2 linked regions of the Pelodiscus sinensis genome follow. The protein of the gene in region 2 purifies or fractionates together with the protein of the main gene of each other region. This does not show direct contact. Links are inferred from orthologs where the notes say so. Each region holds a gene or a part of one and is shown on either strand. Other genes may lie near its edges.

What was found.
Region 1: the proteins of MYCBP2 (region 2) and FBXO45 purify together in Homo sapiens (affinity purification with western blotting; 7 studies listed by BioGRID and IntAct, with this or other methods). This does not show direct contact. The link is inferred for Pelodiscus sinensis from reciprocal best matches to the Homo sapiens genes MYCBP2 and FBXO45.

The regions. Positions count from the first base shown.
Region 1 is NC_134720.1:547,072-562,379, reverse strand, and holds the start of FBXO45 (F-box/SPRY domain-containing protein 1), read right to left. Parts: upstream 7,463-15,308; 5' UTR 7,379-7,462; coding exon 7,148-7,378; intron 4,603-7,147; coding exon 4,246-4,602; intron 2,976-4,245; coding exon of another isoform or gene 2,855-2,975; intron 1,224-2,854; coding exon 1,038-1,223; 3' UTR 1-1,037. Other genes in the region: WDR53 (WD repeat-containing protein 53), read left to right, coding at 7,693-7,809, 9,244-9,738, 10,282-10,869; SMCO1 (single-pass membrane and coiled-coil domain-containing protein 1), read left to right, coding at 13,812-13,984. UniProt on the Homo sapiens protein: Component of E3 ubiquitin ligase complex consisting of FBXO45, MYCBP2 and SKP1. Functions in substrate recognition but also plays an important role in assembly of the complex.
Region 2 is NC_134711.1:266,230,039-266,245,034, reverse strand, and holds the start of MYCBP2 (E3 ubiquitin-protein ligase MYCBP2), read right to left. Parts: upstream 7,018-14,996; 5' UTR 6,431-7,017; coding exon 6,147-6,430; intron 1-6,146. UniProt on the Homo sapiens protein: Atypical E3 ubiquitin-protein ligase which specifically mediates ubiquitination of threonine and serine residues on target proteins, instead of ubiquitinating lysine residues.

The sequences.
Region 1 (15,308 bases), on a different chromosome or scaffold from region 2:
CAAAGGAAACCTTAAATCCTTAAAACATTTTAACGGAAAAATAAAATCTAGAGCCATGACTTTCAACCCTGTTTTTCATATGACTTTGAAAGACTCATTTTACAATATTATACATTTTATGATTTGTTAGAGATTAATTGGTTTTTCTGTGTCAAGAAGATGCAAATGGGTTTGCATTCCTTTGTCAATATGGAATCAGAATTTATGGCAAAATATAACTCATGGGGGGGCTTCTTTTTATCACAGAAAAACAATTGCTCTAACCAGGGAAACTTTGTATCACATCCAAATGAACCTATGAACCCATCTTCTTCCACAAAAGCACCTCAAGACACTTTACAACACTTGCAAGTATGCTATCTCCCAACAGAGGATGTTCTAATTCCACGTAGTGGTTTCTCCTTTAAGAAATTATATCCCAGTTTAGAACAAATTCAACCTTATTTAACAGGATGTTTTTTACATGTTCTATATATACAAGCTTTAAAATACATTTAAAAATAGCTGCACACATTTTATATCTCATTGTATATGAGAAGTGCAGTCCAGGCAGACCATGCTTCTCAGTATGTTAAAAAATATAAATAAAACTCAGCCAATCCTTCTCCTCCGGTAGCCACACTGGCCAACCAGGAAGGAAGACAGGCAGGCAGGCAGGAACACAGTTTTAAAATGGGAGTCTTTCACAAAAAACGCTACCAACAAATTTCAGGTTAATTTCCTCAAGCACGTCTATAAAACCTTTCCTTAGTAACTGAAATCTCATACAGCCATTTCAGCAATGAAAACTGTTGCAACATGCATGTGTGAACTGCCCACTCAACCAACTCCAACCCTGAGGATATTTCTGGCTTGATAGAAAAAGGAAATGTAACAATTTCTGCAGTATGGCTGGTTCTCCAAATCACAATTCTTTGTTTTCCAGGATGTTTCATGAATACACACGCACACTTCATTTCAAGTTCATGTTTCCCTCTAGTTAACATGCAGATTGCTTCTCCAGATCTTCCACATCTTGATGTCCCAATGAAACAATGTCATCCATCCAGAGGTTTTCCCAAATAGACCAAAGTCACCTCTGTGTTGCCATACACAGCAGACACTGCTGGATATAGGCAGGCCTTTGGCAATCCTCTGAAAGCAACTCCCAAGAACTCATAACCCCGCTCAAATGCTAATGTCTTGTCTTCCATGTCCAAGATGACTCGAATTCTCTCACCTATCTGCAAACAGAGATAGGAAGAAGAAAGAGTCAGGAAATACTCAAAGGGAGAACAATTAAAAGGAAAGAAAACAAAAATAGCACAGAGAATAGAAGAGGAGACCCTACAAGAAGGGCATTTTTCTGTTTCTCAATATAAATGAACTAATTTTTCTGGGGGAGTGTCAGTTTCACTGATGCACAGTAAGTTTCTCTATAGCTACACAGAAAATATCAGATTAACAGTGTTTTCCTGTAACCATCACAATGCTACATGCACCATGCATGGGCCCTTCACATGTGACTGTTCTGCTAATAACAATTATTACACTGCATTGCATCTACTTCAGTGTTCTGCAGCATGTGGCAATTTTTGCAATCATCTCCACCCTGTATTTCCCATGACTCTGAAGATAGCTTTTATTATGATAAATATGCAAAGCCTTTATACAGAGATTTTAAAGCCACAGAACTGGTTTTAAGAAGCAAGGGCTGTATGCCAGGTGCACTAAAAAACTTTTTTGGCCAAGTGTGCACTCTGAGCATCAGCATTACACTTTTATTTATTTATTATAGAACAAGAAGCAATGGGCTTAAACTGCAGCAAGGGAGGTTTAGGTTGGACATTAGGAAAAAGTTCCTAACGGTCAGAGTGGTCAAACACTGGGATAAATTGCCCAGGGAGGTTGTGGAATTTCCATCTGTGGAGATATTTACGAGTAGGTTAGATAAATGTCTGTCAGGGATGGTCCAGACAGTACTGAGTCCTGCCATGAGGGCAGGGGACTGGACTCGATCTCTCGAGGTCCCCTCCAGTCCTAGTATTCTATGATTCTATGATTCAATTTACCAGTAGAGCAGGAAAGTTCAAAACTATGTGTATGCTTTTCCCATTTGCCCTCCCCCCCACCTCTCGAAAAGACATTTCTAGAGCAGTGAACACTGAATGCGCTGAGAGAATCACAGATCAGCAAATAAACATTGTATTGCATGCCAGCTCATTTACCTAGAGCATGATTTGAAATTTAGATAAGTCACAGCTCCTAAGAGCAAGGAGTACCATGGCACTGCACAAGCTTCTATATTGTGGAAGCATCAATCCACCCTCAAATGGAGTCACCCTGAACCTCAAAAATGGCACTTAAGAATTTATTCTTTTTAGTCTTTATTTTATAAAAGAAAAGATCAAGTTACATGCTTTACTCAATCCGAGCGTTCTTTAAAGAGACATCAACTTGAAATCAAGTCAGTTTAAAAGTTAATGTCAAAGCAGTTTTGTCTACACCATATCTTTGAGTCTCCATGACAGTTCTGCAGTTTCAAGTTCTTCCCACCCTCCTTTCCCATTAGAGTTTGAAAGATCCAAACAAGGGGAATGGATCACAAAAAAAAAAATCAATCAGTAGAGTGACTACACACAATGCTGTCAAATGTACAAACTCAGCTATAGGAAGACAGTCTCTCTGATCTCTAAATTCCAATAATCTCATGTCTGCTCATAAAAATCATAGGTTAATGTTTCAGAGAAAAGTGCAATTTTTGAAAAGTAAGTACCATTACACAGATAATGTTTGCTATACCACCTGGACAGCGAACTTTAGAGTGGGGATTTAGGAATACAGCCGGTCCCCAACTTATAAACAAGTTACGTACCAAACACAAGGTCGTAACTCGATCTGTTCGTAAGTAGGATTATATTCACTGACGTACAGCCGTGCGGTTTGTAAGTGCGGATTTCGTTTGTAACTCGGGGACCGGCTGTATAGGAGGTTAGCTGTAAATACAAACGGTCGTAAGTCGATGCGTTCGTAACTCGGGGACCGGCTGTATCATATACATTAAACCAGGAATGAGGAAACTTTTTTGAGTCGGGGCCATTGATCCACAGAAAGATCAGTTGGGAGCTGCACACAAGTGAGAAGCAAAACCACAAAAAACCCAAACCCTCCCTTATGTGGCTCCTAACTGAGAGGGAGGAAGACACTCCCCTACATTCCCCTCGCACACCAAGCTTAGGGGAGCCCAGGCTTTTAGATTTTATGTGCTCAAGCCTCATGGGAGGGTAGGGAGGCTGGAGCACCAGTGCAGGCTCCCCAGTGCTGGGGGGGCCCGTGAGCCTCAGGGGCCGGATCCAGGCAAGCCAGGGACTGCATCTGGTCCCTGGGTTTTAGGTTCTTCACCCCTGCATTAAACAATGTTCACCCACTGAAATGCAGCCACATCTGAAGTGGATCACACAAAAACTCTACATAACAGTGTAAGTCAGGAAGTATTAGTGTATTCAATTGAAGCTGTGCTGTCAAAAAATCTAGTAGGCAGAATATAGTTGTCCAAAAGTGGAATTGGCCAAAGCGAAACCACTGATTTGGAGGGGGAAAAAAGCCATGCACCCTTTAATTAAGGCACCTTATCTGAACTTTAATGTTATGTTTAATCCAAAAGATGTCACCTCTAAGAATACCAGTTATTGAATAAACATCGCGTCAGCATCACTCAGAATTTCCTTGGAGAATTCCTACCCGATTATCAACTAGACCCAACACACTTACAATACGATGTACAACACACTTACAAATGACATAATGCTTATCAAACAGCCCTGATATTGAGGGACAAATCCTTGTTTAAAGCATACAGAATGCTCTGGTACTTCTTATTTTTTTTAAAAGAGGTAGCTGCATGAATGTAGGATAATTTCACATAAGATTTGAAATTATAAGAATGGTACACGATTATTTTTATTCTAACTGGAGGAGACAATGCTGGAACCTGAATCTGTACACCAAACAGGAACGTAATCTAAAAAATTAGTAAATCAGAAAAAAGAGAAGAAGGTAAATTTTGCCCCTCAACAGGTAAGCATTGCATACATAGCTACGTGAGCCAGGTTTAGGAGACAGACATGCTTACAACAGAAAAGGGCCATATTAAAGAACAGTGTTAAGGCTTATTGGGCAATGAAGTTTTGTCCTGGTCCCACAATTCTTGCAGGACAGTTGCCACAGATGCAGCAGAACCTCTAGCTGGTGCTTCATCTCACTTACCTGATATTTTGGTGCATTATTGCACTGTGGGAAGCTCCCATTTACTTCTCCATTATGTAGCAAATTATTGTCCACCAGATTCCATCCCCAACTCTGGTCATCGCTGCCCAGAAGCGCTACATAGCCTTGGCACTGCATGGGAGCCCGTTTTGTGGCAATTCCAATTACAGCGACCGTGCCAAGAGGGCCCTCCCACCAAACTTCCCAGGCATGACGACCCTCGCTGAAACCAATCTTCGTCCTTGCCCCATCTGTGCTCTGAGCAATAGGGTTCCGGTGCAACGTGAATCCATTCTTCTTGATGTACACATTCCTGGAGCAGTCATTGGTGCTGAAGGCATGTTGAAAGGCCCGTACCTAAAACCACAGAAAGGGAGAAGGGAATAATCATGAAACGAATTAATGCATTAACCTCTTACAGCTCGTTCCCACCACATTTCAAAGGCTTTTACAAGCCCGGTGTAGGAGGAGCGGCAAAGGCAGGGAGGCCAGCAGGCTCCAGACTCCCCGGGCGGGCGGGAGAGGAGCGCCCCGGGGAGGAGAGCAGGTTGCAGGGCGGCAGAGGAGGACCCCGGGGAGGAGAGCGGGTTGCAGGGCGGCAGAGGAGGACCCCGGGGAGGAGAGCGGGTTGCAGGGCGGCAGAGGAGCGCCCCGGGGAGGCGAGCGGGTTGCAGGAGCGGCAGAGGAGCGCCCCGGGGAGGAGAGCGGGTTGCAGGGGCTGGCAGAGGAGCGCCCCGGGGAGGAGAGCGGGTTGCAGGGCGGCAGAGGAGCGCCCCGGGGAGGAGAGCGGGTTGCAGGGCGGCAGAGGAGCGTCCCGGGGAGGCGAGCGGGTCGCAGGGCGGCAGAGCAGCGCCCCGCGGAGGAGAGCGGGTGCAGGGCGGCAGAGGAGCGCCCCGGGGAGGCGGGCAGGCTGCAGGGCGGCAGAGGAGCGCCCCGGGGAGGCGGGCAGGCTGCAGGGCGGCAGAGCAGCGCCCCGGGGAGGCGGGCAGGCTGCAGGGCGGCAGAGCAGCGCCCCGGGGAGGCGGGCAGGCTGCAGGGCGGCAGAGCAGCGCCCCGGGGAGGCGGGCAGGCTGCAGGGCGGCAGAGCAGCGCCCCGGGGAGGCGGGCAGGTTGCAGGGCGGCAGAGGAGCGCCCCGGGGAGGCGGGCAGGTTGCAGGGCGGCAGAGGAGCGCCCCGGGGAGGCGGGCAGGTTGCAGGGCGGCAGAGGAGCGCCCCGGGGAGGCGGGCAGGTTGCAGGGCGGCAGAGGAGCGCCCCGGGGAGGCGGGCAGGTTGCAGGGCGGCAGAGCAGCGCCCCGGGGAGGCGGGCAGGTTGCAGGGCGGCAGAGCAGCGCCCCGGGGAGGCGGGCAGGTTGCAGGGCGGCAGAGGAGCGCCCCGGGGAGGAGGGCAGGTTGCAGGGCGGCAGAGGAGCGCCCCGGGGAGGAGAGCAGGTTGCAGGGCGGCAGAGGAGCGCCCCGGGGAGGAGAGCAGGTTGCAGGGCGGCAGAGGAGCGCCCCGGGGAGGCGGGCAGGTTGCAGGGCGGCAGAGGAGCGCCCCGGGGAGGAGAGCAGGTTGCAGGGCGGCAGAGGAGCGCCCCGGGGAGGAGAGCAGGTTGCAGGGCGGCAGAGGAGCGCCCCGGGGAGGAGAGCGGGTTGCAGGGGCTGGCAGAGGAGCGCCCCGGGGAGGAGAGCGGGTTGCAGGGGCTGGCAGAGGAGCGTCCCGGGGAGGCGAGCGGGTCGCAGGGCGGCAGAGCAGCGCCCCGGGGAGGAGAGCGGGTCGCAGGGCGGCAGAGGAGCGTCCCGGGGAGGCGAGCGGGTCGCAGGGCGGCAGAGCAGCGCCCCGCGGAGGAGAGCGGGTGCAGGGCGGCAGAGGAGCGCCCCGGGGAGGCGGGCAGGCTGCAGGGCGGCAGAGCAGCGCCCCGGGGAGGCGGGCAGGCTGCAGGGCGGCAGAGCAGCGCCCCGGGGAGGCGGGCAGGCTGCAGGGCGGCAGAGCAGCGCCCCGGGGAGGCGGGCAGGCTGCAGGGCGGCAGAGCAGCGCCCCGGGGAGGCGGGCAGGCTGCAGGGCGGCAGAGCAGCGCCCCGGGGAGGCGGGCAGGTTGCAGGGCGGCAGAGGAGCGCCCCGGGGAGGCGGGCAGGTTGCAGGGCGGCAGAGGAGCGCCCCGGGGAGGCGGGCAGGTTGCAGGGCGGCAGAGGAGCGCCCCGGGGAGGCGGGCAGGTTGCAGGGCGGCAGAGCAGCGCCCCGGGGAGGCGGGCAGGTTGCAGGGCGGCAGAGCAGCGCCCCGGGGAGGAGAGCAGGTTGCAGGGCGGCAGAGGAGCGCCCCGGGGAGGAGAGCAGGTTGCAGGGCGGCAGAGGAGCGCCCCGGGGAGGCGGGCAGGTTGCAGGGCGGCAGAGGAGCGCCCCGGGGAGGAGAGCAGGTTGCAGGGCGGCAGAGGAGCGCCCCGGGGAGGAGAGCGGGTTGCAGGGCGGCAGAGGAGCGCCCCGGGGAGGCGAGCAGGTTGCAGGGCGGCAGAGGAGCGCCCCGGGGAGGCGGGCAGGTTGCAGGGCGGCAGAGGAGCGCCCCGGGGAGGAGAGCAGGTTGCAGGGCGGCAGAGGAGCGCCCCGGGGAGGAGAGCAGGTTGCAGGGCGGCAGAGGAGCGCCCCGGGGAGGAGAGCAGGTTGCAGGGCGGCAGAGGAGCGCCCCGGGGAGGAGAGCAGGTTGCAGCGCGGCAGAGGAGCGCCCCGGGGAGGAGAGCAGGTTGCAGGGCGGCAGAGGAGCGCCCCGGGGAGGCGAGCAGGCTGCAGCGCGGCAGAGGAGCGGCCCGCGGAGGAGGGCTGGCAGCAGGGCGGGTGCAGGGCGGCAGAGGAGCGCCCCGGGGAGGCGGGCAGGTCGCAGCGCGGTAGAGGAGCGGCCCGGGGGTGCAGCGCGGCCCGAGCGGCGGGCGCACCTTGCCCTTGTAGCTGGGCACGTTGCAGAGGAGGTCGGTGCGCAGCGCCTCCTCGGCCAGGCTGCGCGCGGCCAGGCTGCGCCACACCTCGCTGTTCTCGTCGCCGTGCAGGACGCGGTGCCACAGGCGGCACACGAGGGCGCAGCTCCGCAGCTCGCGCAGCTCCAGGTAGGAGAAGACCAGCTCGAGCACGCGCCCGGGCAGCCGCCAGCCCGCCCCGCCCGCCGCCATCGCCCGGCCGGCCGGCCCCGCGCCGACAGAGCCCTGAGGCGGCGCGCGCCAGCCTCGCGCGAAGCGGCGGCGCAGGGGGCGGCGCGAGCCCTGCGCCCGCCCCCGCCGGGCGACACGAGCGGGCGGAAGCGAGCGCAGCGCGCGGGCGGCAGGGGCCGAGCGGGCAGCGCCGGGCGCCGCCGCCCAACCCCCCCGCGCCTCGCCCCCCGCGGCCGGCCCGCGCCCCCCGCAGCGGCTGTGGCGGCCGCTCCGCGCGGGCAGGCGGCCGCCGGAAGCGGCGCCATCTTGGTGAAGGGCAGAGCCCGCCCGGGCCCATGGGAGCGCATGCGCGGCCGCGGGTGGGGGGAACCGAGCGGCGCGATGGGATGACGTCATCGTGCCGCGCCGGAACAGGCGGCGGGAGGGACGCGGAGTGCTTGGTGCGGTTGGAGGTAACGCGGCCTGCGTCCGTCCCGCCCCCCCCCCCCCCGGGCCTTCCCTCCTGCCCCCCCCGGGCCGTCCCTTCAGCCTCCCAGTACATCCCTCCCGCCCACCCCTCCTCCCACAGTGTCCCCCGCGCTCCGCTCAGCCCGGGGCCCCATCGCCGCTCGTTGCTCGCGCTCATCTCCCCGCCGGGCTTCCTGGGTGTGGGCGGGGCCTGTGCCGATACGGGTGTGAATGCAAATCCCGTGTCCATGCAGCGCTGGCAAACGTGCTCCCCGCAAAATCCGAGCAATTCACGCTTGGCTTCCAGTAGAGACTGTGCTTCTTACGTCATGGGGCTGGAATGCCAAACTGCTGAAGCGCTGAATGTCTTTGTGTTTCAGCCATGGCATGTCAATCTGCTTACAACGCGCTTTTCAGCTCCAGCCTACAATGTGACTTATGCAAGTGGCGGGGTGTTTCTAGGTGGATCCATTTGCAGGAGCAGAGCTATAGACGTGCTTGCTGATGACTCCCAACTAATAAGGATAAACATGATCATCAAGCACATTTCAAGTTAGCTGAAGTTCAGGCTCTGAGAAGTCTGAACCAGCCACCAATTAACAATGTAAAGTGTCATTTAAAAAGTTAACTGGTTCAACACTATGTTTGTGTGGGGGCAGCCCCACCGCTTGCAGTGCAGCAGGTTAGCTGGGCTGGAGCAGCCACCTCAGTCTTTTCTCCTTCAGTTCCTCTGCACCACAGATTACTTCTCGAGCTCATATTTAACCCTTGTTCAGCTCTTCTCTGAACTCCACCAATTTACGTCATTCTGTCTTCACAGATAGTCCTTGGTGACTTTTCATTTTTTCCGTATACCATCTTTGGATGTTGTTTCCTTTCTGATGTGTGGGTTCTGCTGTGTATAGCTAAACTATTTCCTTCAGTGTACTGTGATGTTACTTCATGCAAACTCTACCATAAGCATCAAAATAAGCTTATTGTTTAGGAAGACTAGAACTTTGTCTTATACAGTTTTCTTACTCCGTGTAGACAAGTCCCAAGACTTCCTTTCCTGCTGCTCTTTTCAGTAAGTGCATTAGAAACTTTTAACTTGCGTGTTGTGATGGCACGTAGAGACACCAGTCAGAGAGTGGAACCCCATTGTACTGAGTGCTCTGCAGGGGTCATGGCTGAAGTACCTTCCATCTGGACAGCTACTCAAGATTAGCAGACAGTGCTTTAGTATAGTTCAGGAACCAGGCGCAGCACTTCTCATGGTGAAGCAGCAAAGAGGGATGATACAAAATGTCAGTACTGTTTGAGCCCACGTTCCAGTTCACAAGTTTACCTTTACAGGTGTCTGTTTTACCGTAGGGACACTAACATCTCATACAGGACACGTTACTGAGTCAGCCGAGCACATGTGCATTCTTCATGCATCAATTTGTTTTCATTCACAGACTCCCCGAAGAATCATGGCAGTCAAGTGGCGGGATGGACATTCCTCTTCTGTACTGTGCTTGAATGTAAACAAAGACGGTCTGGTGGCTTCTGGAGCAGAGAGAGGAGAACTCTCAATGTGGAACGAGGAAGGGATTCATTTAGAACAGATACAGCTCCCAAGGGCAGATGATGTCACCTGTGTTGTGTTCTCTCCCACCTGCCCCAGCAGGCTGTACACCTCCCACGGCGAAACCATTAGCGTGCTGGATGTCAGATTCCTTAAAGGGCCAGCTGAATGCTTCCATCTGAATGAGGAAGAGATCAATTGCCTCTCAGTGAATGAGACTGACAGTGTCCTGGCTGCTGCAGATGACTCTGGGGCGATAAAAATTGTGGACTTGGAAAATAAGAAAGTCAGCCGGTCCTTGAGGAGGCATTCAAACATCTGCTCCTCTGTTGCCTTTCGGCCTCAGCGCCCTCAAAGCCTTGTGTCTTGTGGACTGGACATGAAGGTGATTTTTATAGTAGAAGGTGGATGATGGCTAGAAAACTTAAATGTCTACTCGATATGAGTTGTTAGATGATATTTGCTGTGCTGCTCCTCCATTCTGGGATTGTTAACATGGCTCTCCAACACTCCTAATGTGGCCCTAGCATAGTAGCCAGAGGTTTGGATTCTCCTGAACTGTTAGTATGTTATCCTGAAATTGGTTCATAATTACATAGTATTTAAATGTGTTCAGCATTATCTCCTATGAAGTCATCAACCTACCCTCCCACCCCATGAAGTAGGTGTTCTTCCCATTTTATAGATCGGGAAATGAAATGGGTCCCTGCAGAGAAAGTATCTGATTCTCAGCACTGTTCTCATTCCCAGTTACATCGGTGTGTTTTCAGTTACATAGCTACAATTGTCAGTTTGTCATGGCTCCCTCTCCCTGATGCCTCCAAACATTCAGGGTGGTCTCTTCACCTCCAGGGTTAAGCCTTAGCTATTCTAAGGAGGGCTGTTTCCGCAGATGTAGTTCTAATGATTTGTTTGGTTTGATTTGAAGGTTATGTTGTGGAACCTGCAGAAAGCTCGCCCACTGTGGACCACGACCCTGCAGGAGACCGAAGCAGAGGAAGTGGGACAACAATCAGCTGGCCAGTTCTTTAACCCTCCCCTCGCCCATTCTCTGTCTGTTGCAGCATGCGGTAATGTCTTTAGTTGTGGAGCTGAAGATGGTAAAATCAGGATCTTCCGAGTAACAGGGGTCAAGTTTGAACAGGAGCTGGGGTTTAAGGCTCACACGCTGGGCGTGTCTCAGGTCCTCTTTTTGCCAGATGTATATTGGCTGCTTTCTGGAGGAAATGATGGAAGGGTGTTACTGTGGGATGTCGGCAGTGAAGCCGGGAAGCAATTGAAGAGTCCTGTGAAATCCATCCACCGGAGGAAGGCCAGAACATCAGCTTCCCCCAAGAGAGGTGGAGAGCCCAACACCATGGTTACAAATGAACATGCCCGAGTTTTACCAAAACTAAGCATAGAACATGGAGAGAAGGTGAACTGGATTTCATGCACAGCGATCAAAGGCTTGAGGAGGGTATTAGTTGCGGACCAGAGCAGCTGTATATCTGTATACCCTCTGAATGCGACCTAGACACACACTGTTTAAGGAAGTCTTGGCAAGCAGCTAGTGGTTTTTTTTAATTTTTGCGAGCTGGCCTCTGTGGTTCCTTACAGAACACTCTCCTCTTGGTTCCCATGGAGAGTAATCTTCCTGTTGCTTAAATAATCCCCAGCTCTTCTGCACGTTTAGAAGTGGCCTGGAATTTGCTGTGGCACGTTATGCACATAAATAACATCACTCCCTATTTCAGTAGGGGAGCTTCTTCACTTCCTTATCTCCTTGTGGGATTGGAAGAAGGTGCATTTTGAATATAGGTGTGACTTGGTTGGAAATGGACCGAGAGGACTTGCAGACACTGAGGCAGCCTCATGCTACAGGTTGTAACATTTTATGTTTCAGTCTGCAAACATTGTGAGAGAGATGGTATTCAGTCGGGAAGAAAATAAATCAGTGGGCATGGTAAGCTTTGCTGAAAGCACAATTGACAGGAGTCCTCCAAACTCCCTGCACTAGAACAACATAATTTATTTTCCTGCTTTGCTTCGTTACCTCTCTAATGCTTTGCTTTCCCCATTTCAAACTTTCTGGTAGTTTAGGCCTAAATGGGACATAATCTGTTCTCTAAGATGCAGCACCTGAAAACGTGGGGTGCAAGCATGTTTGAACTATTTCTAATTTAATATAATGAAGATTACTGAAGTGAGTTAAATAGATTTAAAGCTCATCAAAGTGGGATTTTCAGACAAACAAAATGGTGGGACATTTATTTATTTGGTTTGTCCTTTGATTTCATGTGTCTCAGAGGCAAAAATATCTTTTTAAATCCATCTCGGCAAAACCTTTCTCCCTCCCTGCACTCCTGTTAGCTCTTGTATGGTTACCCTATTGAACCCTGCATGCAAAAGTGTGAAGTTGAGCATTTTCGAACTTCAGTGCAGAGTGTAATAAAAATAGAGGGCCAGGTGCTGCTCTCTTTCTTACAAAAAAGTCTGATTGATGTCAAGGGCTCCTTGCATGAGTATGACAAGCAGGCTTCCACCCTAAATGGACTGTTAGCTTCCTCGTGTAGGGCGATGTGACCAAATGTGAATCCCGTGCCTCTGAAGTTATTTCATAAACTTCACGCTCTTATGGGATGTGCACATAATTCAGAGAGCTTATTTCCCCAGGATGTCCTAAACCACTCGTGTGTTGAAAGTGCAGTACTTTAGTCTGGGAACCAGTAGGGCCAATTCCATTATTTTTGTCTCCTTGATTATACATGCAAAGGAGTGATCTCTGCCCTGAACTTTGAACTTTCTGATATCACTAAAATAAGGTTAATTAATGTTTGTCAGAAGCTTTTTTTTTGGGGGGGGGGGGCGTGGAAACAAGTGGTGAGATAATGGGATAATGGAATGTTCTATTGGAAGAAAAGAACAAACCTATAATTACAATACTTATCGTTCCCCTTTGCCTCCCTGAGTAACCCACTGTGCATCTTGTGCTTCACTAAAGATTAAAAGATTCCTTACAGTTGTGTATGCTTGATCTTGTTTTCTTACCCTCTGCTTTTGAATATGTAACACTCGGACGTTTTGAGGATGACAAAGAAATGCCCACTGTCAGAATGTATCAGGGTCTAGAGGCATCCACGCTATGGCAGTGGGAATCTGTGTGCTGCTCTTATCTTGGTGATCCTCATATCCTGAACAAAAGGCCAGTAAACACACTTCTAGAATTAACTTTAACAATGAGGGCATCTCTCTCACCACTTTAGAGTCCAAGTCCCTCACAGCAATGCAGGAAGCTATGGGAATAGGGTGAGGCTGAGAGAGGTTTGAAGAGATCCAAGAGGGGCAGGCATGGTAGGGCCCAGCCTCTGATTTGAGAATGAAAAGGGGAGTCGGTGATTAATAAATGATAGCAAGCCACATTTGTCTAATTTTTCAGTTCAAGCAATGCTAGTCTGTTGGCGCACACGTGTTGTATCCAGAGTAGCATAAATAAACATGTCGGCTATCAGCTCAAATGTGTGTAGCAACAAAGCTTTGATTCTTCTGATGTCAAATTTCAGTAGCTATCCAGTCATGGATTTTCCAGCATGGAAAGTACATGCATTTTTTTTATGTAAAGCCACTTAGTTTGTGAATACATTTGATGCCAACATTATACACCCATCCCCAGCTGGCCAGTGATGCCAGCTTCTGTTGCACATTTGGATTTTTCTAAACAAGCTCCTTCAGGCTTTCTCCTCTACTACGCCTCCCCCAACAAACATCCACAAAGCTCTCTCTCCTCTACGTTTGTGTCAGACTTCCCTTTGTTACAGGAGCCTACAGAAAATGTGACAGCAGTAGGTGCTGAGACACCACCTATTGTCTGACTCATAGATTTTTGGGGGGCAGTGTAGTCTAGTGGATACAGCCCTAGACTGGGACCCAGGGAGCCTGAGCACTATTTCTGGCAGTGCTACTGGCCTGCTAGGCGACCTTGAGGGACATTGCTCTGTGCCTGTTTCCCCAAAGCGCTTGAAGCTACCGATGAAAAGCACCATATAAAAGCTATTTGCAGTGTTGTAGCCATGTTGATCCCAGGATATTAAGACAAGTGGGTGAGGTAATATTTTTGGATCCATTTTGGTTAGCAAAAGAGACAAGCCTGTCTTTTGCCAACAAAAGCTGGTTCAATAAAAGAGCTACCTCATCCATCTTGTGTCTCTATAAAAGCTGGGTATGTTTGTTCTGTGTTTGTACATCAGCTAGCACAGTGTACTCCTTGTCCATAAATCCTATAGGAATACAACTAATACATCAAGTACAAGCTGAACAGGGCAAGTCATCTTTGTGTCATTTGTGTAAAAGACAACTGGGATGTTTGTTGTGTTGGAGGAGCTGCGCCAGATTCATAATTAAGTAACATGTTTATAGACGTGTTTGTGTGTTTCCAAACTATATTTGGATGTACTAGCTATAAAAAGACCTCTGTGCAATATGACCTTTACCCAGAGTCAGATCTTCTGTCCACGCTGCTGCCGATTGCCCACAAGAGAGAAGATCGAGCCAGGATTCAAGCCTGTTGAATTTGCAATTCTTCTCTTCTTGTTCCCCATGAAGATGACCAAAGAAACTATATCTCTGCACTCCCTGAACGAGACATTAAACAGGTCACAAAGGGTTGTGTGTGTTAGTACTACAAGGAGGAACAGGGCAAGGCTCCTTTGTGCTGGGAAGGGGCTATAGGAAGATGGGGTGAGGGAAGAGATGAACAGCTACTGGAGTGGTGGGTCTGCATGATAGATGAGTCTGTACTTGTTAATTCTTTATGGGAAATAGAGAGGGGATCAAAATGAATGTAGGGGGTGACGGGTCTCAGATCACAAGGAGTCTCTGTGTTTCTCCTTTCTCTCAAAACAACCAACCACCTGTTTTGTGAACAACCATTTGCCCGGTTCGCAGCCATTTACCCCTGTTACCAGATGCATGAGTGCTTCGCCATCAGCCTGAATGCAGCTGCTTGATCCCCAGTCGTAAACTAACTCTTTTTTAAAAGTTTGAGAATGGGCCAGCTGGGAATTCTAATCTATCCATGTTGAACATGTTTGTGTTGTGATATGGTCCAGTTCTGAGCAAGTGTTTTTAGGTGAGCCCAGGACTGGTGAGCTCAGAACCCAGTGAATGTAAAAGAGAAGGACGGGAGTGAGGGAGCCCACGGAAGAAACTTAACTTCATGTTGCCGGGTCTCACACAATCATCTTATTTAATGTGCAGACGGTGTCATTGAAATAGTTCATATTGCAATTAGAAGGGAAGGAAAAACATGGTTGAAAATGCTGCTCTAGTTACTCAAGATGGAGAATACATAGCCCCTTTTCCTGAAAAGCACATATATGGGAGTTCCAGGTCTGACAATTGTGCAAACATTATCTAACAGGAGAGGCTTGAATATGTTTAAAGTTGGTGTCTGCTCAAATAAATGTTGTAGTAAAAGTGGCTGCTGTAAAGCAAATATACTACTGCTGCTGGGATGTACTCACTGGCTGGAAGAGAGAGAGCAATTCTAAAATAGCCTTTTTGTGCTGCAGCTGCTTGGTTCCGCCATGCTTAAAGAACCACCTCTAGACTTGCACTAAGGTGGCAGGAGCGTTGAGAGCCATTGAATGACGCTGCAAACCCTGCATATGATAGTACCCACGTGAAACCAGGGTGTGTAGAGGTAGTGCAGCCCGAGCATTAGCACCTAGAGGGGAGTTTGTAGGGACTGGGAAGTCACCAGGCTGAGGAGGAAAGGAAGAGGCTGGGTTTAAGTATTGTAGTACTACTAGAAGATTTGCTTTGCATTGCTGGGACTCTTAACTCAATTTTTGTGTGGCAGAAAATAAAATGAAAATGTCCATGCTTCATTGAAATCATTGGGCTAGGGAGGAGGGGTTCAGGGTGCTGGCTGTCCCAGGAAGAGAGGCTGACCTTCGCCTATTCTCACTGCAGCAG
Region 2 (14,996 bases):
GGACTGCCTGTATTGTTTCTGGCTAAATATGAAAAACTGAATTATAGCACTGTTAGCAGTTCACTGAAGCAATGAAACTAAAACATTTCTGAATCTCAAGGTAATAAGCAGCCTAATGTTTTCAACAATGACAGGTAATGTTATTAGTGTGCAAAACAAGCAGAAGTTTTCCAAGTCTGAACACAGTAAGCAACTTTGTAGACATTCATCAAACTGTGCAGAGTGGGGTAGGAGGAAGAGGGACAGTGCATGTCCCTTCCTCCACTAATATTCCGTATGACATTACCACAAAATACTCCAGTCAGCCCAGTGGTGCGCTGTTCATCGGAGAGAGAGACTTTAAGTCAGACTTCTGATGAAAAACAAACAAACAAAATGTTGTGTTAGCGGGGACAATTTACTACAGAGGATGTGCAGATATCCATCAATTTGCTACAGAGGATGTGGAGATATCCATTAAAAGGGTTGTGTGCTGGTCTAACTAACAGTATCTTCTGGCAACCAATCCAAAAAATTGATTCAAAACCAAGAAGCCAGATTCTTTTCATAAGGCAGTGTAGCATGGAGGAACAAACAAAGGTTGTCCTAAATTAAGAGAAAAGCAGCTACTAATTAATGTTAAATGAATATACTATATAGCACTGGAGTAAAAACTTGACTGCATTTTTAAAAAATTACAATTTTCAATAATACATCTAAATTAGTGTACTTAGAAAGGTTTCAAGCCACAATAGCACTGTTTCCTAATATTGCAATAATCATAAAAAGAGGGTAAACTTAGATTTACCAAAGTTAATTTGTCTTAACGAACCTTAATTATCAAGAAATTTGATATTAGTCATAGAGCTATGTTGAGTTCTTCTAAAAATGTACTTAATGTGCCATTAGCAGAATTCATACTATCTGTATTTTTACAGATTTTAATAACTAACCTCACATAAGAAATATGAAACATCTTTACCTCTGCTTCAAAACTTACTGCTGAATTTTTTCATCATATGGCACATCACTCCTATGACAACTAGTACAAATAACAGGTGCATGTTTATTCATAAATTCAGTACAAGATTATTGAATAATCTATATTTAATTTTGCATTGGCAGTGCTTGGTCAATCTACTATTGCTTTGATTTCCAATTTGCCAAAACAAAGTAAAAGTCTTATTTTTGACAAAATTTTGCTCATCAGAGACATTATTTGCAGCTTCATTGTTAAAACAGAGTTTCAGTATGCACTAAAAAAATTTCTGTATCTTCATTATGCAAGATTAGCATATTGTGCCCCAAACTACAGTACTATCTGAATACAGAATGAAATTTCTGAGACTTTACAAGTCAACTTCTATATTTGGTCACAGTTCAAATATTTGAAATGGGTCCTTTAAGAAATTACCTAACTTATTTTAATAATAGAGCAGCAAGCTTTACAGTTAAAACCTTACATGCAGTCAGTTTAATTAAAACCTAATATCGTCAAAGTTATTAACTAATGCAGTGGTTTTCAAATTATGGGTCACAACCCAGTAATGGGTCATGGCATGTCAGGCACTAGATCTCATTGCTGCAAGGTGATCAGATGACCAACAGGAGTGCTAAGGCAGGCTACCTGCCTGTTCTGGCACTGCAGACTGTGCTGTGCCCCAAAAGTGGCCAGAAGCAGACCTATTTCCTTGGCGGGGGAGAGGGAGGAGAGCACATAGGGCTCCGTGCAATGCCCCTGCCCTGAGCACTAGATGTGTCCTCCCATCGGCTGGGAACCTGCTGCTAGCTGCTTCTGGGGTGCAGGATGGTCTGTGTTGCCAAGAGAGGCAGGAAGCCTGCCTTAAGTACCAGCGCCTTCCCCCTCTCGCCCCCGACTGCACCACTGACTGGGAGCGCTCAAGGTAAGCCCCTCCTACCCCAGTCCTGATTCACCTCCCTGAAGGCAGTTTCCTCCTACACCCCAAAGCTCTCCTTGTCAATCCCACCCCAGAGACCCCATTCTAGTCAAATTATGTTGGGTCAGTGGCACCAACAATTTTCTTCAACTGGGTCATGAGAAAAAAAAGTTTGAAAAAAATCACTCAACTAATGCATCTAGTTATGGCTAAAGTTGAATGAAAAAGGATACTTTTAGCAAATATTTTAAAGAAAGATCCGCCTTGTTTTTAATAAAAAACATTCAAAAATCTAGCTCTACTTATGACTACAGACAGAGGGAGGTTAATAATTTGGGATATACTTACTATTGTGACAGAGGTAGCACAGACTACCACCATTCTTCTACAGCAGGGCTACTCAACACATGTCCTGCAGGCCATAAGCGTCCTGCTGCCAGTTTGTTTGAGGCCCGCAGCACAGTTTGAATTTATGTGGGGCTCAAAACACGGTCAATAGGCGGGAACCAAAACAAAAAAGTAGTCAATATAATGGCCTTCTGTTGATATGAGTTTTAGTAGTTAAATTCCTGGACTTTCATTGCTCACTAAAAGTGCTGTCATATGGGTGTAAATTGGGTAAATATTGCATTTTATTAATATCAGCAGAACTGACAAATGGAACCTGTATCTTGTGTAGTCTTGCCTTAATCTTTGTATTCATGCCCATCAGTGTGAAATAAGATATTTGCATATATATCTGCATGTATATGAAATCACACTTAAGTTGCAGCCCTTGGCATGTGCCGTATCACTGTGGCCCCCGGGACTTCCAATGTTGAGTAGCCCTGTTCAACAGAGAAACTGCATGCCACAATTCTTTGCCAGTGAGACACATATCAGGGTTTTGGGGATTTTTTATTTTGTTGTTCTTGGTAAAGAGTTCTGATTAGGAGATTGCTTAGCTGTTTCCAGTGCAGTGACAATAACTGTCACTGCTTTTAAAAAGTTCCATGGATGACACTAGCAAATTAGGATCAAATTCACAAGTGCTCTGTAGTTGCTTGTACAGCTCTAATGACATAAAGCAGCTATAAACCTTACTGACATGGCTAATATATTCTGGCTTCTTTGTGGTGCTTCAAAGTGATTCAAAGAAGCCAAAATATACCAGCGAATCTGGCCTTAGTTTACAATTTCAAAATAGCTTAAGACTAATATACTACACATCTTTAACACAGCAAAACCATTAACTATCATATTTAAGTTTGTTTTGTCTTTTAAAAATGTCTAACATGAACCTCATTTAAAAATAACTATGTTAAACCAGAGTTTCAATAGACACAATGTATCTGGGATTTCATAGTAAAAAACAGAACAAAAGCATTAATAATTCCAAAACCAACCATTATAACCCCAAATATAGACAGTGTTACATTTAGAAGAAATCCAAATTTGTTAAAGGTATGAAAACAAAGTTTAGACACCAGAACAATATTAATTCTACTCTCTCATGACACCTTGCAATAACTACATAGTTAAGGGTGAACTTGAATCCCCTAAATTGAATGTTTGTAGTCCCAGAACAAGTTAAATCAATGTTTAAGGCTCGTGATATGAAAACATTAAAACAGAAAAATATGGAATCACAGAATAGACATAACAAGAACAGTAAGATTTACAGGTGCTGTCTGAAATATTACAGTTTCTTAGTTATACAGCTTAGATAGAATCAGGTGGTGTACAAAAACCTCCACTAAGATCAAGGGCCCAGAGCCATCTAGTGGCCATCAGATAAATCAGAAGGTTGCATTATTCTTGTGGTTTGCAAAATTACTTTTCTCTTGTAGACACAATGGCTACAATTAATTACTGGACCTCCCGTTCTTTTGAAAGGGGGAAATAATTAGAAAAAGCAAATTCAAACTATAAAAATGTTTCACTGACATTTACCAATCAAGGCTGATTCACGAAGCTAGTATTTCCTTTGCGACTAGACTCTGCTCAGCCTGTCACAACTTAATTCAACTTGAGAATAAAGACACCATCCTTCCAGCTCCTGTACTTAAGTGGTTCTCCAAATGGAGACAAGAAAACATGTCACTGAACTCCTCAGCAATCTCCCCAGAAAAGAATGAAGGATGCACACAGATCCCACTCACCTGGAAGATGAAACCAAAGCATGTGATCACAATATTCTCCCACATCACAAACGAAGCAGCCACCAGCCTAACAGGCTAGGGAGAGGCAAGCACCCTACTCACTCCTGCCCTTTCATGTGGTGGCTCCAACACCAGGCTTCCCAGGAACTCACTGCTTATTCAACACAGACTCTGCAGCTGTCATGTAGCTGGCAGGGTCTAAGCTGTCAATATGTGCATTCATGTCTGTCCCCTTCAGTGCTGAATGGGACAATCAGGCTCTGCAGCTTCCGCTTCCATACACAAGATGCAACATTTGCACATCTCTAAACTGCTGCTCTCAGCAAGAAACAGCCACATATAGGGCTAAGGTTGCTATAATCTCAAATGGAGCTGTAAGCATTTTAGTTGGACGAAGCCTCATTCTGTCCTGCTCCCAGTTCTGGGCAGTACCCCAGTCCATACTATCTCAAGAGCATCTCAATACCCAGCTTCATCTGCAACAGCAGCTGCTGCCACTTCATGATGACCCTCAACCCCAGCAGTTAGAGCTTGCAGTATCAGAACCCAATTTGTGCCAGCTACCTTCCCCCCCCCCTTCTCACCCCAACAACCCCACAGGATTCCACTTAACTGACTCCACATGGAACCCACATCCAGCCTCCCCTTTTCCCACCACTGCTGCAGATTGTCCCATAAAAACTTTGAGAGCTGTTGCTGCGGAGTAGGATGACTTGTAGTGTGCCTGTGCCCCATCTCATTTTCCTACCACTTCACACGCTCCCAGTGCTACTGCTGGGCAAGAAAGCAATCTGGTGTGATAACTTCCATCTCTGATCCTGCATCCCTCCCACTTCCCCCCAGCCTGTGCATTACAAACCATGGGGAAGGGTACCTGTCTAGGATGACAGAAAAGGGTTGCAGGATGGCCTCAAGACAGGGATAAGGGTTTGGGGAGTGGGGCTTCCCCGGGAGCCTTTGGCAAGGTATTCTGCATGAAGACAGTGTACCTGGCCAAGGGCTGAAGGGGAAGCAGACTTAAAAGGGCCATAGGTTTTCAGAGAGAAGCCATCTTGCCTTAAGTCAAAGTACCAGGGCAAGGAACTTGTCCTGGTGAGGGAACAGTAACTAGAAAATGGGCGCAGTACATGACTGTCCATAACAAGATTGAGACTATGCAGCTTTTAGCAACAAGGCTGTGTTGACACTTTTGCCAACAAAATACTTCTAAGCTCCCTGCAAGCAGCTTTCGCTTTGTCGGCAGGAAAGCACACCTGCCAACAAAGCAGTGCTGACACTTGCACTTGCCGCAACAAAACTTTGGTAGTCCAGAGAGAGGAGATTTAAGCACTCATGAACAACAAAAGTTTTGTCAATCAATTGCAAGTGTAGTCATCATAACCTAAAACTTAGATGGTGGGTCTCACACCTGCCCAGGAATCTAAGACACCAGCTGTGTAACCTCTCTGGGTGTTAAACAATAAGTGTAAAACATGCCACGGCAGATCCAGTTGGGGCAAGCACTTTGACTGCTCTAGAGAACTGGACAGGCGCACCCATTAAGCACCCAATGAGCCGGCTGGCAGGGATTACAGTTGCAGAGGAAGTGCATTACCCACCCAGTAATAGACAGCAAACTGGATGCTGCCTATCAGAATCACCCTGTCATTAATAGTTACTGGGCCAGGCAATTTGTTAAAGAGGGACTCCAGAATTGAAGAAAAAAAAGAAAGAATTGAGCTCTGTTCCCGGGGCGCACCCTGGGGAGGAGTGTAAGAATATTATCCACATGGTAGTTCTAATGGGGGGCGATTTGCCTACCCCACAGCCCCCAGGGGGTTGGGGTTAACACCTAGCTCGCTCATTGTATAACTCTGGGTCCTGGGGGAAGGGGCGGTACCTGCCCTTTGACTCAGGACGGGCACATGGCGAGTGGGTGCATTATCTGCATAGTTGGGAAACCAGGGATTACCTGCGCGGATGCTCTAGGTAGCAACGGGAAGGGATGCACCCTGATACATTCGTCCTCTGTCCTAGGACCTCGCTGGCAACTCAAGTGAAGCCTGTATGACACGCCAGATAGCTGGCTAATGGCTGCAGGGAGGGCGGCCCGCCTGGCGCGGGAGGACGCGGCCTGGGGGTGCGTTACCTGCTCGGGTGGCTTCCCGGATCCCTGTCGCTCAGCGCCGCCGTGTAAATCTTCCGGTAGGTGTCTGCCAGGGCCCGGCCCGAGAGCAGCAGCTGGTAGCGGTCCCGGCAGCCCGGCGGTGGCGGCCCCGCCGCCCCTGGCAGCGCGCCCAGCCCCATGGCTGAGCTCTCCTCGGGCCCCACGGCCCCGGCCAGGCAGGAGCCGCTGGAAGAGGAGAAGCAGCAGCCGCCCTCGGCCCCTGTCTCGGTGGCACCGGCGGCGGCTCCTGCGGCGGCCGCGCACATCCCCCTCCCCGCCCCCTGGCGGCTGAGCTGCCTCCCGCGGCGAGACACGGTCACAGGCGGCTCCCGCTGCCCTCACCGGCGGGGCCCGGCCATGGGGAGGCCACAAACGGCAACGCCAAGCCGGGCGCTGCTCATCCGCCCGGGCCGGGCGCGGTGACACCTGGGCCTCGGGCCGCGCAGCCGGCGGAGGCCGGTCCCGGAAGGGCCGCGCCGAGGAGCGGGGGGCGAGCGCGTGTATCCGCTGGCGTCCCGCGGGCCCCGCGCCGCTCGCTTCCTCCTCCCGCTGCAGCAGGGGGCGAGGCCGGCGCCGCGTCCCCTCCTCCCCCCTCGGAGTGTCTCCCAGCCGCCGCCGCCCTCCGCGCAGCCACCTCGGCCCCACCCCCCTCCGAGTGTCAGACACACACACACACGGCGCGAGTGCGCAGGCGCGGCAGCGCCCTCCCCGGGAAATCCGGGAGCGCGCGAGCCTGTCAGTCTCAGCCGCCCCTCCGCGCGTTGGCACCTGCTGCGCCAGAGCGCCCCGGCTCCGGTACCCAGGCTGCAGCGCCGAGCGGCGGATAGCGGGGAGGCGGCTGCGGCTTACTCAGCCCTCCCGCGACCCGGTGCGTGCATGTCTGCACCATACAAGCGCTCCCCCGGCTGCCTTCACACGCATCACACTAATGTCTCAGAGCTCAGGGCTGGTAGGCACTTTGTGAATTATGCAAGGCGTGGTGTGGCCAATTTTAGCAGTTGGGTCTTCAGGAGAAACACGAATTGATACAAGGATTGGCAACACAGTGGTCAGAGCTTTATGTCTGCAGTGATTGTTACCGTCGCAGAATTTAGTCCTGGATACGGGGTCTCAGCTTTTGTTTTACTACAACTACATTTATAGGTGCAGAAATAATCTAAGGTGAGCCTAATCCAATGGGAGTTTGCTGAGTAGGACACAATGCATGTGAGAAGAGACAACTGTCAAAGTTTTCTAAGCCCAAAATTCATCATTTCTGCGATGGAATTTCTATTTTTGCTGCACCAAGGAGCCTGGTTTATTTATTTTTATCTTCCTTTACTACTAAAGCCTGCCTGCTGCGGCCTTTTTGTTTCCAGCTTTCCCAGCAAATAATACCTATCTGGATAAAGGAGCCAAACAAACAATATCAGATTTTATACAATCCTAAAACTGGAAGAAATCTCCTGGGGTCATCAAGTCCAGTCCCTGGCAGTCATGGCAGGACCTAGAATCATCTAGAACTTTCCTAACCGCTGTTTATCTAACCAGCTCTTAAATATCTCCAATGAGATTCCATAGCCTCCTTAGGCAGTTTATTCCCACGCTTAATCACCCTGACACACAGCTTTTCCTAATGTCCAACCTAAACCTCCCTTGCTGCAGTTTAAGCCCATTGCTTCTTGTTCTATCGTCAGAGGTTAAGGAGAACATTTTTTCTCCCTCCTCCTTGTAGCAAATGGGAGAAAAATACTTCTAAAAATGTTTAGGTATATTATTAATATAATCCAGATGCTGAGCGTCTTGAAAATGTGCGTATTTAGTAGCATGTTGTACATGTGTGTGACATTAGTGATAACAAAAGATTTGAAGAGAAGGATATTGGCATTGGAGAGGAATTGTTATAGAAAGATCCTGAGAATAGGATGGATGCAGAAGGTTACCGATGAGGAATTATATAGGAAGATACAGCTGAAAGAGAATCTACTGCAGAAGGTTATACAATGGAAGTTACAGCTATTTGGGCATATCTGCAGAATGAAAGATGAGCAAAAAGTTAAGACCCATTCAGCATAATGGATGGTCTGAATAGGAAAGGTGTACCCCACAGAGAATGGGAAGATGACATAGTAGATTGATGCGGAGGTAGTCCACAGACACTAAGCCACTCCGCACTGGACAGGGAAAGATGGAAGGAAATAGTGAGGGAGGCACTGGACACCAATGGGCTCTGAGCCCATGGTTGTTGATGATAAGGAGGAGTGGGGAACCTCTGGCATGTGGCCCAGACCCTGCCCCTTGCATAATTTCATCAAGCCTGCAGCAAATCTCTGTGCCATGGGCTGGAAGCCCTCAGCCTCGCAATTTGCGTAGCTTTTTCCACTCCTTTTTTTCGGAAGAGGTTTTTCCAACATTTGGCCTGTCTACACTGACATCCTTCTTCCTTGTAAAATGATGTTTACAGGGATGCCGAAAAAGCGTGTCTGCTCTTCCAAAAGAAATTTCAAAAGAGCAGACGTTCCCTGGATGCAGCAGAGTTTTTCCGGGATACTATCAGTATCCCGGAAAAACTCTTTAGTGTAAACATAGTCTGTGAGTGCAATCCAGGAAGCTCTGCAGGAAGCTCTAATTTTTTTGCTGGCACCATCCCCACAGCTCCCATTGACCAGGAACCATGGGCATTCTCTGCAGGGGCATTCTCTGCAGGCAAGGGCAACACACTGAGTCACTTCTCCCCACAGCCTGTGACCATGGGGACATGTGCCGGCCACTTCCGAATCTGGGACCTGCTGTAGATAAGCACCCCACACTCCCTCCTGAACCCTAATCTCCTACCCCAGTCCTGACCTCCTCTAGCACCCTGACTCGCTCCCAGACCCTGTACTAGGGATGTTAGATATCAGGTAATTGAATAGTCGAGTAACCACATGAATTCTTATCCGTTACTTGACTACTCTGTAGTCACTGGGTGGGAGGCAGCAGCCAGTGTGCTCTGGTCCCACTCCTGGGAGTTCCCTGCCATCATGGGCTACAGCCTTTTTATCAGAGGCAGTAGCATGGGGTGCCAGGCAGGAGCTGGTCTGTGAAGGGAGCCTGTTTAAAAACCAGCTCCCCATGCAAAGCAGCTGTCTGCCGCCCTGCACTGCTGCCTCTAGATCAGATCTAGAAGCAGCAGCGTGGGTTGGCAGCATCTTCTGTTCATGGGTGTCCGAGCTCCCATGGCAGAGGCTGCTTCATGGCAGCCTCCCTTGCCCCTCCCCCCTGCCTTGGCTTATCGGTTAATCGTATAGTTAACTACATATAGACTTCTCCACCCTGCCCCATCCTAAGCCCTCTCCTGCACCCCAAATGCCTCATCCAAAGCTTTACCCTAGAGCAGGGGTTCCCAACCTTTTTTGGTCCCCGTACCCCCTTGGCTTTTATTAAACCTTCCCGTACCCCCTATTCAATATGAAAGGAAATAAATTTTAGACTCTAGAATCCACAACTTTTTTCACTAACACTACTACTTTTGGAATATTTCAATTAGTTATTTACCAAATATTCCCTGGACCCCCTTGACAAGCTTCTCGTACCCCCTGGGAGTATGCATACTACACTACAACCCTCTACCATATCCTGGATCCCCCCCTCCAGCACCCTGAACCCTTCATTTTTCGGTTTTCAGCTTTCCTGACTTGATAGATTGGATGCCATTGCAATTTACAACAATCCCAAAGCATAGGAAAAAAACAAAGCCTCTGTGCCCCCCTCACCCTGTGAGGCTGTGTGGCCCATGCCTTTTTTTTCTGAGGGGTCAGTAGTTAACAGTAGACTGGTAGGAAAAAGTTTCCATACCCTTGATACCCTTTATAATGCCTCATTAATTCGGATAGCATTTTATAACCATAGATAAAGGCATGTTCCTTCTCCCAAAAAGTTAAAACTCTAAGGCATGGGTTCCCAAACTGGGGGGCATGAAGAAATTCCAGGGGGGACATGAGGCAAGGCAGTCCCTCCTCCCCCAACCCCCTCCAATCAAGTTTTCCAGCCCTGGTCAAAGTTTCTTTTTTTTTTCCCCCTCAACAAGTTTTGCTGCTATTTTTTGGAGTGGGGGCTTGAGGGTTTTTCAAAAATCAAAAAGGGGCCTGATGCCGAAAAGTTTGGAAACCACTGCTCTAAGGCCACTTCTACACAACATACTTTGGTTGTAGCAAGTTACATTATTCATTGTAAAGCTACTGCAATTAATATATAGCTCATGCATGGGCATATTTGGCTGATTGCTTCCCTCAGAAAAACTTTGGATACTTTCACCTATCGAGTTTGTAAGTCCTTCCCCTTGTGCATACTCACCAAGAGTGCCTGTTTTGATGCACAGTGCAATGCATCTCAGGTATGCATCCAGTATGCCACACTCCACTATCTAGCACACTGTCTTTTGGAAAATGCATTACAGGCAGTCCCCAGGTTACGTACAAAATAGGGACTATAGGTTTGTTCTTAAGTTGAATTTGTATGTAAGTCCGAACTGGCTCCAGATTCAGCCGCTGCTGAAACTGATCAGCGGCTGACTACAGGAAGCCCTAGGCAGAGTTGCTCTGCCCCCGGCTTCCTGGAATCAGCCGCTGATCAGTTTCAACAGCGGCTGAATCTGGACTCCTGGTTCAGAACAGCTGGGGCACTGCCAGGTAGGTCCCCGCAGGACCAACCCGGCAGCACCCCAGCTGCTCTACCCCAGGCGTCCCGCAACAAAAGCCTGGTCTGCTGGGAGGGGGGCGGACTAGCTGAGCCCCCTCCCCCCCCCCAGCAGACCAGGGAGCCCCGAGCAAAGCCGCGGAGGCGCAGAGGTCCCGCCGCCTCTACGGCTTTGCTCCTGTCTCCCTACTGTGCTGGAGAGTCCCTCCCAGCACACCAGGGAGACCCGGAGCAGCTTTTCTCGCCCCGGAGGACACGGTGGCGGGACCGCTGCGCTCTGGGCGGTCCCGCCGCCCGCGAGCTCCGGGGCGAGAAAAGCCCCGTTCGTAAGTGCGGATCCGACATAAGTCAGGGACTGCCTGTATATGGCAGAAATGGGTTATGCATGGGTCATTTGGAACAAAGAACCAAGCTCCCATCACACAAATTTTTCCATCCCATAATGCCATCCATCCCCATTGTTTTTGTAACTTAAAAAACCATCTCAGAAGCCCCTGCAACACTTTTCACTGTCTATGACAGAAGCATTGAGCTCTACAGAGCCCTGCACTATTGTCAAGAATGTTGCAAATGGAGGCTGCACAATCCCCTGGTACTTGAAGATCCACAGAAATAACTGAAACGCTGAGGGATATGGTGGATTATTTGAGAAAAGATTGCTAAGGAACATAGCAAAATCCTAATAAAAGTTGGTGGTGGTAATCACAGACCTTTTGTAGATGATAAACACTGCTTTGAGGCCTAAAAAACAAGCACTTACTGAAGATCACATTGTATTACAGGTTTTGGACAATGAGAAGTGGAAAGGCTACACCCATGGATCTGTGAGCCAAGTTTGCCCCAGCTCTCTGGTACAAAAACATCAGGATGGAAGCCGCACTGACAGTTGAAAAGGAAGCTTTGCTACGAGTCAGTGGAAAATTATTTCCTAGTTGTAGAGTCCACACTGGAGGCCATTGCCATGTACTTGTGTAGAACTGAATCATCTCCCGCTGCACAGGACTGTGACTCAACAACGTGCAGGACATAATAGATAGATCTGCCTCAATGTGATTCCTGAATTGCAGTGGGCAGAGAGATGGCCATCCACATATCTGTTCTGGTACCAGCCCAACTTGCCTCAGAGTACATCAACCAAAGGAGATATTTTATTGACTGTTATGCAAGTGTTCATGGATCACCAGGAACACTTCACTGACATGGACATGGACTGGTCAGGGAAGTTGGATGAAACTCACAGCTTTAAGAACCAGAAAGCTGCAAGAACAGATATTTTTTTCCTGACAGGTGAATTGCCATTGGTTATACAGGCAGTCGCCGACTTACGCGGATCCGACTTATGTCGGATCTGTACTTACGAACGGGGCTTTTCTCGCCCCGGAGCTCACAGGCGGTGGGTCGCCACCTGTGTCCTCCGGGGCGAGAAAAGCTTCTCCCGGTCTCCCTGGTCTGCTGGGGGGGTCCAGCAAAGCTGCTGGACCCCCCCAGCAGACCAGGGACACCCGTGCAAAGCCGCCCAGGCGGCGGGACTCCCGCCGCCTGGGCGGCTTTGCTCGTTTGCCCCGAGAAAAGCTGCCCAGGCAGCGGGAATCCCACTGCCTGGGCGGCTTTGCTCCTGTCCCCCTGGTCTGCTGGGGGGGGGGGTCCAGCAAAGCCACTGGACACCCCCCCAGCAGACCAGGGACACCCGAGCAAAGCCGCCACCTGGGCGGCTTTGCTCCCGGGCAAACGAGCAAAGCCGCCCAGGCGGCGGTTTTGCTCTGGTGTCCCTGGTCTGCTGGGGGGGGTCCAGCGGCTTTGCTGGACCCCCTCAGCAGACCAGGGGGACAGGAGCAAAGCCGCGGAGCACGCCCGCAGGGGGACAGCCCAAGCGCGCCCAGGCTGTCCCACTGCGGGCGTGCTCAGCAGCTTTGCTCTCCATCTCCCTGGCCGCGCTACTGGAGCAACCCAGCAGCACCCCAGCTGCTCTGCCCCAGGCGTCCCGAAGTCAGCCGCTGCTGAAACTGACCAGCGGCTGACTACAGGAAGCCCGAGGCAGAGTTGCTCTGCCCCAGGCTTCCTGGAATCAGCCGCTGATCAGTTTCAGCAGCAGCTGACTTGGGGACCCCTGGGTTTCTTAAGTTGAATCTGTATGTAAGTCAGAACTGGAATCCAGATTCAGCCGCGGTTCAAACTGATCAGTTTCAGCAGCGGCTGACGCCAGTTCTGACTTACATACAGATTCAACTTAAGAACAAACCTACAGTCCCTATCTTGTATGTAACCCGGGGACTGCCTGTATTGAAATGCCAACAGTGAACCTACATGACCTACCGCATCTTTTTCTTTAGTCCATGAAACATACACTGGTCAGTGTGACAGTACGAAGGAGTGATTCAACTATTGCCTTAGCATGTGCAGAATGATAGCTGAATATTCTTTTGGTAGCCTAAAGGGACGCTGACAGTTTATACTCACAAGATTGGACTTCAGTGAGCTATAGTGAGCTTTCAGTGGTTATTTCTATCTTTCTGGCCTTCATAATATTTCTGAGGCAAAGGGGGGAAAGTTGGTATCAAGGTGGAAGTGAAGCATCCATCTGATGACACATGGTCTATTAGAAGAGCTCAAGATGGAGCTATGTGGCTGAGGAGGATCTTGAAAGAGCACTTGCATTAATGTGGTATAGAGGACTGTGGTCCTAATGGCCCTTAAATTTTGGATGCTATTGGGAGTGGTGTTGTGTATATATATATGAATATTACACTGTCTCTAACTGAATTTATGAATTATGCAGTGAGTTTATAAATTATTATTCTGTTTCATTTAACATGAGTTCTGTGATCCTTTGCAAATACAAACAGTGGGCAAGGCTGGCGCCATACTTCGCTGGGCCCTGTGCAATGTGGGCTCGGTTCTGAGACCCCTGGAAAGGGCAAGGCCTCAGGCAGAAGGGGCAGGGATAGGAGCAGCCAACTCTCAGCACTGCCTAGATAGCACCACACCTCCTCCAGCCAGCCCTCAGTGCTGCCTCAGGCTCTAAAGGCAATTTAAAAGGCCCAGGGCTCTGGTCCCAGCAGCTTGGAACCCCAGGCCACAGTGCAACTACCCCCTTTGCCTCGTCTTTCATTAGTGACCATGCCAGTTGTTGCTTTGGGTAGCAGTCAGCATTCTGCAACGTATATTGTGAAGTGAAAAATATTTATTTTCAAAAATAGAAATATCTTGTGTACAAAAATTGTGAAAAAGTGCAAAGGGCAATTACATGGCAAGCCTATCAAAAACTTCAGAGATCGTGGAACTAGCTAAAGTAATTCCAAATAATATTTTTGGGGACCTTTCCTGTCCTTTGAGTGAGATAAGGTAGAAAATACCAGAGATGAAAGAGGCAGGGGCTAATTTTCTCATTTGGAAGTGTGTCTGCAAAAGGTGAGTGCTTAAGAGGCAAGTAGTGCATACTCAAACTCACATGACTTGAATAAATTGAACTACTGTGACAAACAATGTGAAGAAAATAAACTTTTTCACTTGATTATATACCAATGGTTGGGTTCTGGATTACAAGCAATTAGGACTGGAAATTCTCACTGATGAGAAGAAATTTGAAATAATTGGCATTATTGAAACCTAGTGAGATGTTTTGCAGAATTGGAATGATACTCATTGGTCATAACTTGTTTAGGAAGAACAGAGTTGGTAAAAGTCAGAGAAAGCACTCTACATTAAAGATGCTATTCCATATTTTAGAGTTATCAGTAACAAAGAACCATAGAGTTCATATGTATCAATGTGCTAACGCACAAAATACAGGTGAGAATACCGAATAGAGGCTTTTACAGACCTTTCAATTAACCAGAGAACATTTCAGGAACAATTTAAGTTTCTCCTTAAGCATTTGTTTGATGTGTGGAAAGAAAATTAATGTTGTTATGGAGGAATTCAGTTTGAGAGGCATGCCAGAGATCTCATGGCACCATAAGTGAATAATTAACATGTAATTTTAAGAAGATTCTGTTGTAAGTCAAAAGACATGCACCCAATATGAGTAACTATTTTTGTCACATTATGATTGATAAAGATGAACTAATTACTAAGCTGGAAGTTGATGGTTTCCTAGGGACAAGCAATCGTTACCCGACCAAATTCAATCTGGGCAAATTGTACAGTTCCAATTAGTAATATACAGTGTTTTAAAAG